Sus scrofa: one gene and its partners. The protein of the gene in region 2 interacts with the protein of the main gene of each other region in a pairwise test. Links are inferred from orthologs where the notes say so. Each region holds a gene or a part of one and is shown on either strand. Other genes may lie near its edges.

Evidence for each region.
Region 1: the proteins of RAD23A (region 2) and TRIP6 interact in binary tests that used the Homo sapiens proteins (3 or more experiments, as listed by UniProt). The two-hybrid records come from large-scale screens. The link is inferred for Sus scrofa from reciprocal best matches to the Homo sapiens genes RAD23A and TRIP6.
Region 3: the proteins of RAD23A (region 2) and MINDY3 interact in binary tests that used the Homo sapiens proteins (3 or more experiments, as listed by UniProt). The two-hybrid records come from large-scale screens. The link is inferred for Sus scrofa from reciprocal best matches to the Homo sapiens genes RAD23A and MINDY3.
Region 4: the proteins of RAD23A (region 2) and USP25 interact in binary tests that used the Homo sapiens proteins (3 or more experiments, as listed by UniProt). The link is inferred for Sus scrofa from reciprocal best matches to the Homo sapiens genes RAD23A and USP25.

The regions. Positions count from the first base shown.
Region 1 is NC_010445.4:8,711,079-8,716,290, forward strand, and holds the start of TRIP6 (thyroid receptor-interacting protein 6), read left to right. Parts: upstream 1-2,142; 5' UTR 2,143-2,301; coding exon 2,302-2,410; intron 2,411-2,702; coding exon 2,703-2,830; intron 2,831-2,922; coding exon 2,923-3,048; intron 3,049-3,335; coding exon 3,336-3,722; intron 3,723-4,018; coding exon 4,019-4,112; intron 4,113-4,220; coding exon 4,221-4,390; intron 4,391-4,876; coding exon 4,877-5,055; intron 5,056-5,212. Other genes in the region: SLC12A9 (solute carrier family 12 member 9), read left to right, coding at 564-1,453. UniProt on the Homo sapiens protein: Relays signals from the cell surface to the nucleus to weaken adherens junction and promote actin cytoskeleton reorganization and cell invasiveness. Involved in lysophosphatidic acid-induced cell adhesion and migration.
Region 2 is NC_010444.4:66,093,390-66,098,422, reverse strand, and holds the start of RAD23A (UV excision repair protein RAD23 homolog A), read left to right. Parts: upstream 1-1,945; 5' UTR 1,946-2,180; coding exon 2,181-2,252; intron 2,253-3,541; coding exon 3,542-3,703; intron 3,704-3,868; coding exon 3,869-4,050; intron 4,051-4,189; coding exon 4,190-4,245; intron 4,246-4,378; coding exon 4,379-4,506; intron 4,507-4,768; coding exon 4,769-4,847; intron 4,848-4,962; coding exon 4,963-5,033. UniProt on the Homo sapiens protein: Multiubiquitin chain receptor involved in modulation of proteasomal degradation. Binds to 'Lys-48'-linked polyubiquitin chains in a length-dependent manner and with a lower affinity to 'Lys-63'-linked polyubiquitin chains.
Region 3 is NC_010452.4:46,052,509-46,056,975, forward strand, and holds part of MINDY3 (ubiquitin carboxyl-terminal hydrolase MINDY-3), read left to right. Parts: intron 1-1,242; coding exon 1,243-1,315; intron 1,316-3,893; coding exon 3,894-3,981; intron 3,982-4,467. UniProt on the Homo sapiens protein: Hydrolase that can remove 'Lys-48'-linked conjugated ubiquitin from proteins.
Region 4 is NC_010455.5:180,569,133-180,574,264, forward strand, and holds the start of USP25 (ubiquitin carboxyl-terminal hydrolase 25), read left to right. Parts: upstream 1-1,987; 5' UTR 1,988-2,330; coding exon 2,331-2,375; intron 2,376-5,132. UniProt on the Homo sapiens protein: Deubiquitinating enzyme that hydrolyzes ubiquitin moieties conjugated to substrates and thus, functions in various biological processes including inflammation and immune response.

The DNA of each region.
Region 1 (5,212 bases), on a different chromosome or scaffold from region 2:
CCCGATTAGCATGCAGAGGTTTGCTCTCAGGGGACCGTGCTTTGGACACGTCATCATTAGGGCTTTTCTATCATAGAAACAGATCGTGCAGCCCCAGTGCCGAGCTTCATCCTCCCCTAGCAGGGTCTGAGCGCTGTCTCCCTGGGGATCTAGGCCATGAGCTTGACTAATCAGGGGGTCCCTTCTGTCCGGTGGAGTCAGACTCTCATCTCCCATCACAAAAAAGGTGTGCAGCTTAAAGCCTGGAGTGAAATGCATCCTACTGCCTCATGACGCCTGGAAGTGCTCCTTAGTTAAAAGAATCCTAAGGCGAACTCTGTCAATTTAAGTGGGGGAGATTAGTCATGAAGATAAATGCCTGTGAAAGTGTTTGGGAAAACTCAAAGTCATTACGCAAATGTGCATAATGTTGCCTTAAGAGGCCAAGCACTGTGCAAATGTCATACCTGCTGGCTGACACGTCGCTGCCAGAGGGTGGGAGTGGGTGCCTGTTAGTATGGTGTGAACTCAGCCTGTGACTGATTCCTTGGGGCTCCTTCCTGCCTATCCCTCTCTGCCCCCAGGTGGCATGAAGCCCAACACACTGGTCCTGGGTTTCTACGATGATGCTGCGCCCCAGGACCACTTCCTGACAGATCCAGCTTTCTCTGAGCCTGCTGATGCCACCCAGGAGGGCGGGTCCCCAGCCCTGAGCACCCTGTTCCCTCCACCCCGGGCTCCTGGGAGCCCCCGGGCTCTCAGTCCCCAGGACTATGTGGCCACTGTGGCAGACGCCCTGAAGATGAATAAGAATGTGGTTCTTGCCCGGGCTTGTGGGGCCCTGCCCCCTGAGCGACTGAGCCGGGGTTCCGGGGGTACCTCTCAGCCACATCATGTGGACGTGTGGCCCCTCAACCTGCTGCGGCCCCGGGGTGGACCTGGCTACGTGGACGTCTGCGGCCTCTTCCTGCTGCAGATGGCCACCATCTTGGGCATGGTGCCTGCTTGGCACACTGCCCGCCTCCGGATCTTCTTGTGCCTGGGGCCTCGGGAGGCCCCAGGGGCAGCCGAGGGGCGGCTCCGGGCACTGCTGAGCCAGCTGAGGATCCGGGCAGAGGTGCAGGAGGTTGTGTGGGGTGAGGGGGCTGGGTCCGAGGAGCCTGAGGAGGAGGAGGAGGGGGACTTTGTGAATGGCAGGCGCGGAGACGCAGAGGCAGAGGCCCTGGCACGCAGCGCCAACGCCCTGGTTCGGGCCCAGCAGGGGCGCGGCAGAGGAGGAGGGCCTGGTGGGCCTGAGGGTGGGGATGGCGAGGAAGGGCCCACCACCGCCCTCACGTTCTTGTACCTGCCTCGGCCGCCTGCTGATCCCTCTCGCTACCCTCGCTACCTGGCGCTGCTGGAAATTCTGAGCCATGACCTGGGCCCCACGCTGCTCATTCATGGCATCACCCCTGTCACTTGCACTGATCTCTGATGCCGGTTCCTAGTAGAGAGTGTCCAGGTCGAGTGGCCCACTTTGCTTGGCGGGTTGAGGAGGGGAGGTGCTGCCTCTTGCCCTCCTTGTACTTGGGACTCGGACCCTGGTGGAGGTATTAGGGGAACCTGGTCTTTGGGAGAGGGTCCTCGCTGTGCCCAGGGCAGCTGAGCCGGCGGCCACCACTGGCGAGAAGTCAGCAGCCCTCCCCCACGCTGGCCTCCCTCCCTTCACTGGTGCCTTGACGGGGCTGGGTCTCCGCTTGTGACTCTAGGCTACCTCAGTCTCCCCGCCCCTTGCCCAGTAGACTCCTCACCCTTGAGGTTGTGATGTTTTTGTTCCGTTTTATTTTTCTAACTGCTGAATGTGAATAAAAGACCAAAACACTAGGTGCTGGCCGAGCGTTTCTGGAGGGAGCCGGTAGGGGGGACAGAATGCGGGACGAATCTGTATGCGGGGAGGGGCACTGGAGCATCCCAGCGCAAGGGGGCCACGTGCGGACTTGGGGCACAAGAGCCCCGTGTTAAAGGAGGCTGCCTGAGCCTCCCACCCCCACCCCCCGGGCCCACGCTCTGGAGGAAAGCCGCCCCGGCTCGCAGGAGGGGGCCGACTAGGGGAGGGACGGCAGTTTAGGGCCTAGGGGGCCACGTGACCCTCCCCCAGGAATGCGATGACGTCATCGGGGGCGTGGCCGTCCCCAAAATTGGGGAGGAAGGGGAAAAAAAAAAGCCAGAAAAAGTTTCTGTCCTGGAGTCCCAAGCGAGGTGTCGGGGGGAAGAAGGGGTCAAAGTCAGAGCCCTGGGCTCCGTGGGGCCCTGACCGCTGTCTGGAGTCCCCCATTCCAGACCATGTCCGGGCCCACCTGGCTCCCCCCGAAGCAGCCGGAGCCCGCCAGAGCCCCTCAGGGGAGAGCGCTCCCCCGAGGCGCCTCCGGGCCGCCGCCAGCCCACGGAGCAGGTAAGGCAGCCCCAGTGCGGTGCGGAGGCCACCGGGCCACCAACACTCAACTCTGCCCTGCTGCTCTTGCCTCCCGCTGAGCCTGCCCCTGTCGCCCCTTCCCCAAGCCCGGCTGGAACCCGCCGCGCCCCCGCCCTCGCCCTCTCCCAGCCCTCACTGCCTCCTGCCCCATTCTCGGACCCCAGATGCGGGGGGAGAGGGGTGAAGAGGGACCCAAGACCGGTGGCCTCCACAAGTGTCACCCTCCTCTCCTTCCCCATCCCCACCTTGGCTCTCTCTTCCCTCACCCCAGCACTCCAGTCCCACCCCAGGGTCAATTTTTGCCCCCTCCCATCTGAGCAGTGTTACCAGGCCCCTGGGGGACCGGAGGATCCGGGCCTGGCCTGGGTGGGGTGCCATGGAGCACCCCAACGCTCACAGGTGAGCACCGCGATTAGGGGGTGTGGGGGGGACTTAGGGCAGGAGAAGAGGCCATATGAGTTGCATTCTCCCTGCTTTTGCTCTATCTCCAGGGGCTCCCCCCGGACAGGGGGGCCTTGCGCCCAGGAAGTCTGGATGCTGAGATAGATTCCCTGACCAGCATGTTGGCTGAGTTGGACGGGGGTCGGGGTCACGCCCCACGGCGGCCTGACCGGCAGGTGACTCCCCGCTCCTGTCCCTCCCTGTCCTTGTCCCCCACCCCTCCCCCGCAACCTGGTTCCTGCTCTGTATTCTCACTCCTCTTCTCCCTCCACATGGGGGATGCACCCACCAGCGAGGAGGAAGCTGGGCCACCAAAACGTACTAGGTTGCCAGCCACTCAAGGACGGGCCCTTGTCAAAACCAGTGCTTACCTGGGTGCCACAGACACAGGGTTCAGGGGTTCCACAGATGTGTGTTCTGGATTGGGCCCAGCTCATGCCTTCTGGTCTGTGCTTCTCTCCAGGCTTATGAGCCCCATCAGCTCCCTGCCTACCGCTCAGGCCCTGGCTCCCTGAAGCCGAATGGAGGGAGTGTTCCTCCCACACCACTCCCAGCGGCCTCCTATGGCGGCCCCACGCCGGCCTCCTATGCTACGGCCAGCACCCCCGCCGGCCCTGCCTTCCCTGTGCAAGTGAAGGTGGCACAACCAGTGAGAGGCTGTGGCCCCCCCAGGCGGGGGGCCCCTCAGGCCTCGGGGCCCCTCCCCGGCCCCCACTTTCCTCTCCCAGGCCGAGGTGAAGTCTGGGGGGCTGGCTACAGGAGCCACCGTGAGCCAGGGCCAGGGGGTAAAGAGGAGGCTGCCGGAGTCTCCGGCCCTCCGGGAGGAAGAGGAGGCGGGTACGGGCCCCAGGTAAGCCCTGGGCCCTGGGATTTGGGGTCCTCAAAGACAGTTGGATGCTGACTGGGTGGGGTGGGGGTGGGGGTTGATGTTCCAGTTTTCAAGCTCTGGATTCCCTGGGGGCGGGGGGCAGGTCAGGAAATAAAGGAGGGAGGGGACTAGATCTGCACACTGGCTCCCAGAGGCACACCCCTGGCCCCTGGGCTGGGGTGTTCTCCTGTGAGCTTTTGGGTGGAATTGCCTGATCACTCTCGGTGACAGTATTGGGAGGGAGAGGTAGGATTGAACCCCTGATTCTCACCTCCCAGGTCCCCCTGAGCCAGCCTCCCGAGGAGGAACTTGAGAGGCTGACCAAGAAGCTGGTGCAGGACATGAACCACCCGCCCAGTGGGGAGTACTTCGGTGAGCTGCCCCCCGCCACACACCCCGGGCAGGGGGTGGGGGGAGGTCAGGTAGACAGTGGGTCTGGCTTCCCAGTCTATGGTTGACCCTGACCCATCCCGTCCCCAGGCCGGTGTGGTGGCTGCGGAGAAGATGTGGTTGGGGATGGGGCCGGGGTTGTGGCCCTGGACCGTGTCTTTCACGTTGGCTGCTTTGTCTGTTCTACGTGCCGGGCCCATCTCCGGGGCCAGCATTTCTATGCCGTGGAGAGGAGAGCGTATTGTGAGAGCTGCTATGTGGTGAGTGGTGGGGGCTGGCGGGGGGTGGTGGCAGATGGAGTCAGCAGCAGGAAGCAGGGGGCTTCCATCCAGAGTGGGAACTAGGTGTCCAAGCCCCAAAGAATAAGGCTCGAAGCAGGAGAACTAAAACTAATAAAGAAAAAGGCATGGATGAAATAAGTAGCTGTATACTGGTTGCTGGAGAGAAAGGACAACATTCCCCTGTAAGAGTGAGGCATTTATTTTCGGTTTAGGGGAATGTGCTGAATCCCCACAATGCCCTGGTGAGGCAGCTGTTACTCCTGAAGGAAACTGAAGGTCTGAGAGCTTAAATATCTTGTCTGGGGAAGCTGCAGTGCTAGGATTTGCACGCATACCTGTTCAAGGCCACCTTTAACTGAATCACATGCAGGGGGCTACATAAATAGGTGGGGGAGCTGGCAGGATGCCTGTAAGGGCTGCCATGGGTCACCCCAGCCCTGACCTTCCTGCTCTCCTTCCTGACAGGCCACCCTGGAGAAGTGCTCCACCTGTTCCCAGCCCATCCTGGACCGGATTCTGCGGGCCATGGGGAAGGCCTATCACCCTGGCTGCTTCACTTGTGTGGTGTGCCACCGCGGCCTCGATGGCATCCCCTTCACTGTGGATGCCACCAGCCAGATCCACTGCATTGAGGACTTCCACAGGTCAGCTAGGTCATCAACCTTTGTCTCAGGATGTCTGGCCTGGCCTTTCCCATCTTCCTTATCTCTCCTTCATATCCCAGTACCAACCTCTCATGTTTTGCGCCCCTGGCCATGCCTCATTCTTGGTAACACAACTCTCTTCCATAAGATCCAAGAC
Region 2 (5,033 bases):
AATGGGGCTCCTGGGGCCTGAGCTCTGACCGCCCCCACACACAGTTTTCCCCTGCCCCCAGGACTCGGCCACTTCTGAGTGGGGCAGGGGATTCTAGCTCGGCTCATACTGAGAATGTAAGAACTACAAACGAAATTTCTATTAAATTAAGTTTTGTGTCTTCCTCCTGTGTTTCCTTCTGGGGGAGGTGACTCCTAAGTGAGCCTCATTTTTTCAGCCACTAAAAGTGTTGGTTAATTGTCCCATAAGGTTACAAGGGCCCTGGTTTACCGGCAGAACTGCAAATGAGTGGGAAAGAGTAAGTTACTAAGTACCACTACAAATAGCCTATGTATTAAGTCATTGAGTCCTTGTATCAAACTGTTCAGTTTTGGTTCTAGTATCACTTCAGTTTCATGAGACGAGGGCCAGAATTTAGTTTGAGATGGGACAGGGCTTTGAAACCATACCTTAGCCACTATCTCATACAAACTGTTTTATATTGGTCCATATGTGTCCATCTTCTCAAGCAAAAGTTTTAAACATTTGCCTTTTTTTTTTTTTAACTTTTTAAGGGCTGCACGTGCAGCATGTGAAAGTTCTCAGGTTAGGGGTCTAATTGGAGCTACAGCTGTGGGCCTACATCACAGCCACAGCAATGCCAGATCCAAGCTCTATCTGACCTATGCTGCGGCTCACAGCAACGCTGATCCTTAGCACACTGAGTGAAGCCAGGTTTTGAACCTGCATCCTCATGGTTACCAGTTGGGTCTTTAACCCCCTAAGCCACAACGGGAATTCTTATAAACACTTTTTTTTTTTTTTTTTTAATGCTGATTCCACCGGGACAGGGATCGAATCCGTGCTACAACAGTGACCCAAGCCACTGCAGTGACAGTGCCGGATCCTTAGCTCAATTTGCTGCCAGGGCACTCCTCAACACGTTGTTCTTAATACCAGCCCGTGTTAAAAGCTATAAATACCTTTCATTAGTCAAAATATCTTCAGAAGGTGGTATCTAGCTTACCCATGATGTTCAGTAGCCAAGTTGGGATCTGAACTTCTTGAAGGGAAGAGGTGGCCTATTCTTGTGTGGAAGCTTCTTAGTTCAGGGTGTGTGGTAAAGGGACAAGCAGCAGGACCTGGTTAGATTTGGGGAAATGAGTGAGGTGGCAGGGGACTGCACTGTGTCCTACTGGGATGGGAATGGTGAAAAGATCAGGTTCTGAAGCAGGATATGAAGGAGGTGGGGAGTCCATCACCTCCAACCAGTCTGCCATAGCACGTTTTTCACCTTTGGCCAACCAGCGCTTCATTTCCTTGTTACTTGGACAGGCCTCTTTTGTGCTTCATTCCTGTGTCCTGCAGCCCAGCCCCACCCTTCTGGGAAACATCCCAATTAGCATATCCAGGGAAAGGAGAGAATTTTGTATTCAGTGTAGGAAAGCCTTGGAAGTTACATACTCTACATACTGCGGATCATGTTGGAGATAGTGGTTAGGGAAGGAGCAGCAGAGAGGGGGGAGACCCAGGAACTAGAACTGTATAAATTAATTCCAAAAATCCGGCTCTTCCTAAAGAATAAATGAGGGCATAAAATGGCTCTGTGTGCCTGTTTACACAGCCAAACGTGTTTGGCATTTTCATTTAATTGTTGGTGACCTTTTCAGTATCCTTTCTAGGTCCCTTCAGGGTTAGACAGGAGTACTGTCAGGGTGGCCAGACTAGAATGAAACTAATTTGGAAAGAGCAAAAAATATGAACTAAGATTTTACGGTAGAGATACAAGTATCAAAGCAGATTTTTGTTCAACGTCAACAAAAAAGGAAACTGATGGGCGTGATAATTGGACGTCGGCGCCATTTTGTGGCCTCATGACGTCACCGCTAACGGGGATGGCGTCACTCCCATGAAGCCACGTGATGGTTAAGCGAGAAAACCTCCCTCTACGCCGACTGAGTAGAAGTTGGTCTGCGTACGCCTGACTCAGGGCCGCTCTCGTGCGCATGCTCACGAAGGCCCATGGCGGCGGCGGGGGGGGGGGGCCCACAGCGCGCAGGTCACGTGTCCTGGTCGTCGGCGCGCGCACCGTTTGCCCCGGAAGCGGTCGGCGCGCGGCGCGGCTAGGCGCTAAGATGGCGGCGGCGTGAGTTGCATGTTGTGTGAGGATCCCGGGGCCGCCGCGTCGCTCGGGTCCTACCATGGCCGTCACCATCACGCTCAAAACGCTGCAACAGCAGACCTTCAAGATCCGCATGGAGCCTGATGAGACGGTGCGAACCAAGCCTGAGCCTGGGAACGGGAGCGACGGGTGCCAGGGGTTCGGGGGGAGGCTGGGATCCCGACGAGAGACGCGGGGAAGACGACGCGGGGCCGGGCCCTGCCCATTCTCCCAAACTGCCCTACTTTTCCAGATTACCCGATGGTCCCCAACCCAGGCCCTGGTGGCTCGGGTGGAGCTCTAGTGTCGATCTCCAGGCAAAGCCCCACCCCCGGGGCGCCTGCCAGGCCCCGGCTCCAATGTCAGCGCCCTCGTGGGGCGCGGGAGCCGCAGGCTCAGATTTTCTGTCGTGCTGCTGTCTCTGGGACTGGGCCTCCTAGTTCCCAGCTTTGTAGGCGTTTCCTCTGGACGTTGGTGGCCGAATCTACGAATAGTGGCCAAGAGATGCCGGGTGATGACAGCAACGACGATGATAAAGATAATAAATGGTCTGAGTTTCAATGGTCCGTGTTTGTTCTTCACCAGTCACTGAGCGTTTTCGTATTATCTTACTAAATCTTCAAAGTAGGCTTGTCATTTGGGGACTTAGTCTTCTTGTTTTACAGATGTGGAAATTTAGGAGTTAAGGAACGTAGACATAGTCGCATACAGCAAATAACAGTAGGGGTTTGCCTCAAGTGAGCCTATGGACGAAACCTTATGCTGTCTTTTTAGCTGAGAAGAGACTTCGAATCTAATATGCGTATTTGGCATTATTCGCACAACTTATCTCATGAAGAAGATGTTTAAGTTCACTTTTTATAGAGAGAGAAATAGATTTTCTCATCAGCCTGTTTGCCTTTGGGCAAGTTAGTTAACAACCTATCTGTGCCTTTTTTTCTTGGACATAAAATGAGGCTAATGGTAATTTTTTTACCCAGTTACAATGAGGATTTAAACTTGTGACACATGTATGTTTACAATAGTACTGTAAACTTAGGATTCTACCACTGAAAACCACTGTCAGCAGCATGGAGTGAGGAACCCTCCTATCGCCCCTTTTTTCTGTTTTTCATTACATTGTGTTTACATTTTCTGACTTCCATCTCCCAAATAAGCGTCATTTCTACAAAAACAGAGTTTGTTGAGTTTTGTTCTCTGTTGTGTCCTCAGTGCCTAAAACTGCACCTGGCACATAGAAGTGTGCAGTAAATACTCCATTGAATGATGGGATAGCCTAGAATGCTTGATTATGAAGCTTAGCTTCTCAGTCATCAGGGCTTGTTTTCTCCCCTCTCCTCCTATACTATAAGGGAAGAGAGAATCTTGGGGTTTGCCATGACTGTGTACCCCTTTCTCCAGGTGAAGGTGCTAAAAGAGAAGATAGAAGCTGAGAAGGGTCGTGATGCCTTCCCCGTGGCTGGACAGAAACTCATCTATGCTGGCAAGATCCTGAGTGACGATGTCCCCATCAGGGACTATCGAATTGATGAGAAGAACTTTGTGGTCGTCATGGTGACCAAGGTAGGTGAGGTAGCTGGTTGGGAGGGTGGGTGGATTAGCTTGGGAGCTGGCCAAGAGCCTGTGTGCCTAAGAGAGATTAACCATGAACAGGGTGGGGCTGAGCTGTGGTGGGATGTGGCGCTAGATAGGGATACTGATGCCTGCTCCCTTTTCTGGGTTTCACAGGCCAAAACTAGCCCAGGCACCTCAGTACCCCCAGAGGCCTCACCCACTGCTGCCCCGGAGTCTTCCACATCCTTCCCATTGGCCCCTGCCTCAGGCATGTCCCACCCCCCATCTCCTGCCAGAGAGGACAAGAGCCCATCGGAGGAATCGGTCCCCACGACATCTCCGGAGTCCGTGTCAGGGTAAGGCAGGGAGCAGCAGCCTCAGCTTGGGCCCTGGCCTCCCAGCACATTTCAGCGCCTACGTCCGTGGTTCCACACACCTGCGGGGAGGGCAAGCCGCCAGAAGCCAGGGTCCGATTTCTCTCTCTTGAATTTGCAGCTCTGTTCCCTCTTCAGGTAGCAGCGGGCGAGAGGAAGACGCGGCCTCCACGCTAGGTGGGTGGGTGGTCCCCAGAGCAGAGATGACTGGGTGCCCCAGCCATCAGCTGGGCCTTGTGTGGGTGTGGGAGGGCCCGGGAGCTGCCCTTCCCACTCCTTGGTGACCCAGCCCTTGCTCCTCCTTCCACAGTGACTGGCTCTGAGTATGAGACAATGCTGACAGAGATCACGTCCATGGGCTATGAGCGGGAGCGGGTCGTGGCTGCCCTGAGAGCCAGCTACAACAACCCCCACCGAGCCGTGGAGTATCTGCTCACGGTGAGGTGGGGCTCTAGCCTCCTGGGGAGTCCTCAAGGGAGCATGTGGGTGTCAGTGACCTGATGGGTGATCAAAACCTGCCCTCCAAAGCCCATGGTTTATGGTTCCAGCTAGGAAAGGTTTCCTCCAGGAACCTGGACAGGAGTGGTGGGGTGGGCCTGCAGAGGGCAGAGTGGAGGCCTCATGTGTCTCCTGCCAGGGCTGAGCATGCAAGAGGAAGGCAGTGGGCAGTCTGCATTGAACTAAATAGGATCCCTGACAGGGAATTCCTGGGAGCCCCGAGCCAGAACATGGTTCTGTCCAGGAGAGCCAAGTATCGGAGCAGCCGCCTACGGAAGCAGGTGAGTAGAGTGTGAAGTGTGCGTGTGGAGTGTCTGCACTTGAGGCGTCTGACTCACTCCATCCCCCCGACTTCAGCCCTGGGTGGTGTCTGACCAGACCCCTTTTTTCTGTCAGCAGGAGAGAACCCCCTGGAATTCCTGAGGGACCAGCCCCAGTTCCAGAACATGCGGCAGGTGATTCAGCAG
Region 3 (4,467 bases), on a different chromosome or scaffold from region 2:
AGTAGAATTAGTCCAAACTTTCACTTTTTTAAAAATTATCCCAAATGATTCTTAGCCTTTTAGCCAAGGCCAATTGTCTTCGCATGAGTTAAGCATGTGCTGGTGAGGTTTAAGAAGACTTTTTAAAAATTATAACTTCTTTATTTCCTTTGTGATAGAGACAGGGCACCCCCTACGTCCAGAAAGAGCAACCACTCTTTATTCTGTAGTTCAGTGATAGAAGCAGGACTTTTGGACATCTTGTTCTCTGGGACAGGATTTTTTTTTTTTTTTTAATTATCCTAATCTCTGAAAAGGATGTCGTGTTGGACATTGACTTCAAGCTGAGACAGTCTTCAAGAATGAGTGGATGAGTAGAGGAACTCGGGCATTGTACATTTAAGGGAATCAGCAGCCAGCCTGTTTAAAAGTACTGTGATTTCAAACAGTCCTACAAGCTTTGTGTGTGTGTCATGTTCTGTTGCATCATCTTAGTTTGGGCCATCTACTAATGCTATTTCCATATCGGAGCCCACGGAAAGGAATATTTTCCATTAACTAATCTTCATCAACATTTGATTCTACTCTGCATTCCAACTCTGATTTTTTTCCCCTATTAAATCTGTGGCTTTTATTTAAATCAAGTCTGTTGCGTCACCATGTTGTACAGTAGAAAAAAAAATAATGTATTGGGGAAATAAAAAAAAAATCAAGTCTGTTGATTTACATAAGGACTATCTTTTCTTATATTGTCAAGAGATCTATAATTAACAGTGGATCCTAAATAGTCTTGCAAAAAAATTAAATAACATTCAGTGGATGCTGAATAGTCTTGCAAAAAAATTAAATTGTGACAAAAGGAATTTGTTGGTAAAGGATTATTTTAAAGGGAATTTAAAGGTTTACATTGCTAATTGAAAGATACGCTTAGTAATTGTAAATTTAAGTAGAAAAACAGCTTGGTTAAATTTGTGAGCCTTTTGAAGAAGTAATTTGGCTTCAAGGTTTCCTTGAAATTCTCAGGTATAAGTCATGTGGTTAATTTTTGTATTAGAAACTAACCTTGAAAACAAATCTTTTCCTATGTGCCCAAGAAAACTAATAGATGAGCACCTAATAATAATAGACATTGTGCTCAAAAGAAACTTAATATGCTGCTCCCTAATTCTTTGTACTCCTCTTATGTGATTTTTAGCTAGAGTCTGATCAGCAGTAATAGTATTTCTTGACATAAACGTAATCCAAATTTTTTTTTTTTTTCAGATAATGGATTCATACCTGATTCACTTCTAGAAGATGTGATGAAAGCATTGGACCTGGTTTCAGATCCTGAATAGTAAGCTCACAGGAAGTGTTATGTAACCAATTGATTTTTTTTTTAATGTAAAACATTATACACACATTATTGCCTTTTTTCAAAATCTAAATTGCATATATGAAGCCTAACACTTTATAAGAAGTGAAGATTTAGGAGGCAATCAGACCAATCAGTATTACAGCAGACTTGACATAGTTAAAATGAGCTTCCTTTTCCACTCTGTGCTTATGGTCTCGCTTTAAAAAATGATGCTAAAAATATAAATACCTTTTTCTATGTTAAATATATTTTTTCTCACTGCAAAACTTTTTCCATATTTTGAAATTTTGTGCATGCCTTCAGTACCTTCAGTTCGAGTAGTGAGAGTTTTGTAGACTGTTTATATCACTAGTCATCCTGCTTAAATAACCAGCAGGCCTCTGCTTTCAGTCTTAAAGACAATGAACATTCTGAACCTTTATAAGTGGCCGCAGTATATTACAGAATATAGTTTTCAGTATTGCCTATCATGAGTATCTGTCATTGTCTTCATTCTGTTCCATTTTTTACATTATACCTTTAACTTTTTCCATAAATTTAGGGTCTTTATTGTCCATGGGAAAATAGCCCTCTGGTTAAGTGGATACACCTGTTGATCAAACAGAAAAGTTAGAAATCAGCTATGAACTATATTAGCTTTTCCTTTTTCTGCATAGTTTATTTTTCCTCCTGAAAGTGTATCTGACAATGAACAAACTTTAGCTTATAAACATTTCAGGAAAGGATACAGCAAAAAGCAACATAAGACATAGTCGTATACATAGTTTTTAGAACTTGATCCTATTGTGTTTTTAAATAGCCGGGGTGTATTTTCTTTTCTTTTCTTTTTTTTTTTTTTAAAGTCTGATATACATATAAACATTTACAAACTAATCACATCTGAATTAATATGTCTCCGTCTCTACTTACCGCTATGATGTTATCCTTTCTTAGTAAGCATAATTGCTGATTCCAACTCACAGAGGAGAAATTTGGGAGAGACAGGTGACCTAGTTAATAAATGGTATAATAGTAACTACCATATTTCTTCTCACCTCATCTCCAAGTGGAGACCTTCTTGTTTACATTGCTCTAATATGCAAAAAGGACTGAACTCGGGTAATTTTGGTTACTAACAGTTCTTAAGATGGGAAGGAGGAAGAAGGAAAAGTTAGGTTTTCTTTCAAAACTCTTACATAGATGGCCATACATCATCTACTTAATTTTCCCATTTCATTAGACTACATGAATGATAAGCTTGGCGCAGCTGAGTTAGTGAAATTGTTTCTCTAGAAGTAGCTGAAAGGTTGGAACAAGTTACTCACTCCATCCTTTGGTCTCGTCGAGTGTATAATATGTGATGGCCCATAAACCAACAGGGTCATATCAACGATTGATAAATTTAATTAAATATAATATGACCTTGCCTTCATTTGTTTCATGTCATAACCTTCTGGCATTACTCAGACCCACTGCAGTGTCACATCTTTGGTATATTGCACAGATGACTTGAACAATGCAGGGGTTGAGGTCACCAACCCTTGGGCAGACAAAAATCCATGTGTAACTTTTGACTCCCCCAAAACTTAAGTACTAATAGCCTACTGTTGACCGGAGACCTTACTGATAACACACATTTTGTATGTTATATGTATTATATAGTGTTTTCTTAAAGTAACTTAAATGTTTATAGGAAAATCATGAGGAAGCAAAAATATATTTATGGTACCTATATGTATTTACTGGGGAAAAAATCCACATATAAATAGACCCAGGAGGTTCAAATCCATGTTATTCAAGAGTCAACTGCATAATAAGGTATATTTAACCTGACAGTTAATAACAGGGAGAATGAACATTTTCTGAAAAGATCATTTCCATTTTTGAAGCTCTTTGATTCAGTCCACTTTTCTCTGCCTTCTTTCTAGTCACACATAGCACTTTTCAGTAACCTTGTCCACACCTAATACCGAAGCTATACAGAGCACTGTTCACTTCAGGCTCCTCCTGGAATAATACAGTACATTTCCACTTATTGAAATTCATATACCTTAGCCCTTGAGGATTATCTTACTTTTTAACTATCAATTTACACTGTAAGCATTTTAAGCCTCCATCTCATTTGGTTCTTGAAAGTAAGCTCTTTAGGAGATGTTTTTAATTACCTAATGTACCCACTGCCTTTAACACTGTTTCTTTTTCTTCTTAAACATTTTGTTTAAGTTAAATGCCTCATTTGATAGTTAAATTCAAGCGTACCTACGAAGCAAAGAGAATGTTCCTTTGGGAAGTTATAAGCCTGAGTTTTTAAGTTATTTTACCTAATAAGGAACAATATTCCAAAGTCATCATTGTAATTTAAATTTTAAATAGTAACAGATTAGTCTAGTTTAAAAATAACCAAGTTTTGGCAAATTAGATGTCATTCCTATGTATTTGTCATTAAGGATCTAAAAAGAACAGCTCTTAGGACTTTTGGCAGTCAAATGTGTTAGAGTACTAGTAATTTAATCATGAAAGAAGAAAAATAAGCTTTTTTTTCTTTGGTATCCACTGTTTCTTTTTTCTCTCCCCACAGTATAAATCTCATGAAGAATAAATTAGATCCAGAAGGGTTAGGAATCATACTATTGGGTCCTTTTCTTCAAGAATTTTTTCCTGATCAGGTAACATAGATGAAGAAATATCTTTATTGTTTTGTGCTGTTGAGATGATCATATTACGATTGTTTCAGCATTTTTTTCTACTAATTTAAAATGTTCCTACATCCAGATACAAAACTAAGAAAGTGAAATTATCATGTGAATACTTTCCCCTGACAGAGAGGCTGGGGGGGGAGGGTACCTGTGTTCCAAAATTCAGTAAGTCACAACTTTGATTGGGGCACGGGGGCGGTGGAAGAGAGTATATAAACCAGTGTAGACACACTGATACGGTTCTTCTAAAGGAAGATTCAAATCCATAGGTACATGGAGTGAAAAAAGACAAGTGTCGCTTAGTCCACTCCCACCCCTCTTTTCCTCCTCTCCAGTAACTGTTGTTAATAGATAGGAAGTTCTAGGAGGATACGTTCCAAAGTACTAGGAGAGGAGGCAGAGGAGCCTGTTGTATGAGTATGAACTCGTGAAGTGCTCCTGAGTTTCAGAGAAGTG
Region 4 (5,132 bases), on a different chromosome or scaffold from region 2:
CAGCAAAACTAACATTGTGCTATCTGGCAATGGGTCTTTTGTGCACATTTATCTCAAATATTCAAATTTTCATCATCTATTTATTCCAGCTGTATGTTTTCTAAACAAACAAACAAAACAACCCCCCTAAAAAAAAAAAAAAAAACACCCAAAACCAAACAAATCTACAGGGGAACTTGAAATTTACTTCTCAAAGTTCTACAAAACCATAATTAAGATTTTAAAAAAAAGAAACTGGGAAACCATCACAAATAATCTAGGAATGAATGATCAAAGTGGGCAAGTACAAACTACTCTATAAAGAGCTTTATTTGATAACTATACAATAATCACTGGTAAGATAATTTTTTTGTGTGTGGAACTAAAAAAATCTAACTCAGAGGAACATTCATTGCCAAATTTTAGAAAATTAACTTTTGTATCTGGCAATATCTTTTTTAAACCACAGTACTAGTTTTTTTTTAATGTTAAATTTAACTTACATTCAAATATTGTGAATCAGATTTTTAAAAATCTATAAAACAAAGAAGCAAAGTTGATATGTTGGAAAGAATATTCATCAATAAATGAGGAGAAAATGAACTCTAGTATGCATTCATTCACAAGTCACCCTCTTTGGGTCTCAGTGTTCTCATAAAAATTTTGTTCATTCTGTCAGAACTGTTACATTATTCCTAAAATTCTGGGTTTCCAGCCATTTCACAACTTTCCAAATTCTTCTGGCAGAAATGTAAGACAGCAATAAAATAAAATTTGTAATCTGTCAAGATCAAATGAGCAAATAAACATGAAGATGCAAGGGAAAGACCTCAAAAGGTGGTTGAAAACATCTAAGGTGCAGAGTAAAGCCAGTTTGTAAAGTGTAGAGATTGATTACAAAAGCTTAGGAGTTACTGTGATCCATGATTATTAAATATAACCAGATAATATTTCAGTGATCATGTGCCAAACTTGCTTTTCTTTCAAATTAAAAATTATACCTACATTTGCATATTTGTGTATTATATTTGTGACAATATGCACTGATTATTCTTTCCCTTCCACTGCTGCACCCTCATATCCTATCCCCACATTAGCTAGTGAAACAAGATATTTTTGAGACTAGAAATTGCTTTCTTAACAGTAGGTTTTCCATACAATTCCATATATAGTCAGGTATTCCAAGCAGGGTGTTTAATTGATAATTTGCTTGGCAACTGGGACATTAGATGATGTACCATCTAGACAGTGACTATATTTCATTTACATCAAATTATCGGAAAATGAACCTTATTTCTCAGAGCCTAGCAGTGACTGGCACATAATTGAATGAAAGAAGTAGACAAAGAATATCAATATTCATTTATATAATGATTACTTAAGGAGAAATGTACATTCTAGCATAAAGACTTCTGACAGCCTTTTGCTTAAATTACACTTGACTTTTCCCTACGGGCAAGTTTACTGCTAGTGAAATTCCTAGAAAGGCCTGGGGAGAAGACTGGAGATACAGAAAGGAGCCAGGATTCCGGACAGAAGGCGTTTGGGGGACGTTACGGGGCTAGCAGGAAAACGTTTGGTCCTGGAGGAGTTCAGAAACCCAGCAGTCCGACAAACCCAGGGCACAGAGACGAACGCTGCCCTCGGGCCTCGGCTGGAAGCTTTGCAGAGTCAAGGGAAGGCGTCGCGCAACCTGCCGCAGGGGCAGCTCCGAGGCCCGGCCCGCGTGGCGTTTCCCCGCCCCGCCCCGGGAGCGGCGTGATGGGGGCGTGCTCCCGGGCGGCCCCGCCCCCGCCCGCCGCCCTGTGGGTCACAATGTAGGGTTAGGGCGGCCGGCGGGCGGGGCTCGGCGGGGGAGGAGCTGCCGGGCGGGGGCGGTGACGGCGGCTGGGGGAGGGGAAGGGAGGAGGAGTCGCGGAGGGAGGAGGACAGCGCCATTCCGGCCGGCCGCTCCCTCTGTCCCCTCTCCCTTCCCCGCAGTGGCCCGCGAGCCGCCAGTGAAGGAGCGCGCGCGCGCGCGCCCGTGACGCGTCCGGGCTTGCTTGCGCCCTCCCGCGCCCCAGCGTCGGCCGCCAGCTCATGGCCCGGGCCGGGGCCGACGAGCCGCGCTAAGGCGGGCCGCGCGGAGTCGTGGGGCCGCCGCCGTGGCCCTCCCTGTCCGCACCTCGCCGCCACCCCCGGTGCCCGCGCACGCCGGCCGCCATCGCCTTCGCGCCTGGCTGGCGGGGGCGCTGTTTTCCCCCGCCGTCCGCGCCGCTCCCTGGAGCTCGGCGGAGCGCGGCTGCCAGGGCCGGCGGAGGCACGAGGAGCCGGACCCCGTTGCCTGTGTCGCCGCCGGCGCCGCGGGGGCCATGACCGTGGAGCAGAACGTGCTGCAGCAGAGCGCGGCGCAGAAGGTGAGGCGAGCCCGCGAGCCGGCGCGGCCCAGCCCGGCTCCTCCTTCCGACGTGCCGCCTGGCCCGCCTCGGCTGGGAGCTCCCCGGTCTCCCTCGCCGCCGCCCCGGCCTCGGCTGCCCCGGCGTCCCCCCCGCTCCCCGCTCCCCGCCGCCCTACCCTTCTTGGGGGCGAAGCGCCCAGTTCCGGGCTGTGTGTGGAAAGCGAGGTGTAGTTAGCGGGTTTCACTCCAGTTCCTTCTCGCCGATTGTTTTCCTGTAACAGACGGTGCCGGGTGTTTATTGAGAGCGACCTCGCATTCCTACACTCCTCTCTCTGACTTCTTAATTAAACTTTATCTTCCTCCTCTTTAAAAAAGAAGAAATAGCCAGGTTGTCACCCTTTCCGAACACAGTTTTTATTTTCAAGGGAGGAGCATTCCAGGCCTGCTATTTTGCAAAAAGGTCTCCACCAGAATTGAATTGCCTGCCTGGCGGGGCAGGTACGTTAACCAGGTGGATTCAATGTAAAAGTAGAGGGTTTGGTTCGTTCCCTTTTTTCTTTTTTTCTTTTTCTTTTTCTTTGTTTTGTTATGTTTCTTTTTTTCTTTTTTTCTCCCTGAATATAGAAACTGGCCATGTTTAGTCCAGGAATCGTTTGTCCCCTAAGTTTGACCTTGTAACACATTCAAATGGTCACTCACTTAAGTTAAAAAAAAATGTGGGTTTGTGAAGCTTCAGATCTTCTACAGTAAGCAGTGAGAGATGCTTCCCCCCCCCAGATTTTGCTTTCCGAATCTCAAATGCACTATCATGGCTTGCACCATATCCAGAAGAGTAGTTGGCTATGACTTAATTTTTTTTTTTTTTGATCATTTGTGTGAAAAGCGTTTTGGGCAAAAGGAAAACATTGCTTTACTCGACTTGAAATTATGGGGGTAACCCGGGTTTACTGGGAGTAGCTACTAAAACCTGTATCTGGTTTTTCTGGAAGAGGAGTGGATGCCCCACCCTGTTGTAGTTGGGGCATAGCTATATCCTATCTGTGCTTGATTTTAGAATAAAGCCTGCTGTCCTAAAATGAACACTGTGTGTACTCACAGCTTGCTGAATTTTTGCTTTGAGATTATTTTTAGAATTTCATGATAGTACTTGAGGTAATTGAAGATGCTTAAGAATTTTGGAAAGCAAGGATAGTGCATTGTTATTTTAGGCACTTTGGGAAAGTTGTCTTTGGAACTCTTGTGTGTTAGTTAACTGTTACTGGTAAATTTAGCAGATTATTACAGACTGCAGTTTATTTACTGTGAATTTCGTGAACAGTGTCTCCGAATCCCCTCTATTCTGTTTTGAATGCCTTAAATTTTAGTTTTCCCGATGTTGAGAATATGACAAAGTGTTAATACTTAATGGAGGATCTTATTGGTCATATATATACTAAGCAATATTTAAGAGGTTTGGTGTTGTTTCTGTTTATGGTTCTCTTCGGTGTTGAATATTCAGGCCTTTTTGTTTCATAGTGGAAAATATAGCTCATATTTTTTGTATCTTAAATTTGAACAATAGCAAGAAGTTTGTGAATTTATTACATTGATTTTGGACTAAAATACTTCTTTAGCATAGAATTAGATAAGCAGATCTGTCTGCTTGAGCGCTGTATGCATAAAGTTGTGAATAGAGTCAAATTACTGAAAGTGATCTTGGCCATCAAGTCCAGTTTCCTAGTTTAATGAGTCCTTTCCTTACACAAAAGGAGTGGTTGTTAGTCCAAAATATTACCATTATGATGCTGTTTTTAGTGTGTGTCTGTCAGATCATCTCATTGATATTGTGCACATTTTTTAAGAGCAGTATAATTGCATTCGTTTTTATACTTGCATATGGTATTTTTTTTAAAGCAACATTTAGTGTGTTTGCTTTCCATATTAATATACTATTATTTTGCTACTTATATTAGAAATAATTAAAAATACTTATATAGGTCCAAATACTTTAAACCATCTACTTCAAATAAATTGATAGTTTTGAATCCACCAAGCTAGTGACTAGGAGGTGGACTTCAAGCTGGTAACTAGGAAGCGAACTTTAGAAGAAACAAAAGTGAAACTCCTTGTTTTTAAATTAGAAACTTTATGAATGATCATTAAAACCAGACGTGTCTGGTGCATATTGCATAAAATTTTAGCCTATTTTATGCTCTCCTTAAAAAAAAATTTGAGTGTTGTGTGCTCATGTGTAATATTAGCTTTATATGAAGAACTATATTCCGGTAGTTGGAACAGTTTCCTATTTTTCAAGATTCTTTTTATTCTGTTTCTGAAGGATGTATGATTAGTAATAATCTAAAAAAAAAAAAAAAAAAAAAAAGCACAGCACTCTTAGGTCTTTTGTTCACCTACACAGTAACTTGTCACAGTGTAACTTAAAGCAGTGACTATCTTTTCCTCTAATGTGTTCTTTGCTTGATTGCTCAAGTTTGGCCATAGCAGAGAGTTGAGATGTAGTGAAACTGCAGAGAGCTGCTTTTCTGAGGTTTAAGCTAATAGAGGTGAGGTGGAGTTGGTGGCAGATTGGCTATAGTTAAATCTTGTCATTATTTTGGTCTTGAACATGTCTCTTCAGCCTTTGTGCTTGATATTTACTTAAGAGTAGGAGCCTTACAGGTCAGAAATTTGATTCATAGATTCAGCTTCCAAATAAGGATTATTTAGGGCAGCAATATTGAAGGCTTCCTCCCAGGGACCAAATTAATTTGTAGAGTGAAGTGAATTGGATACTATT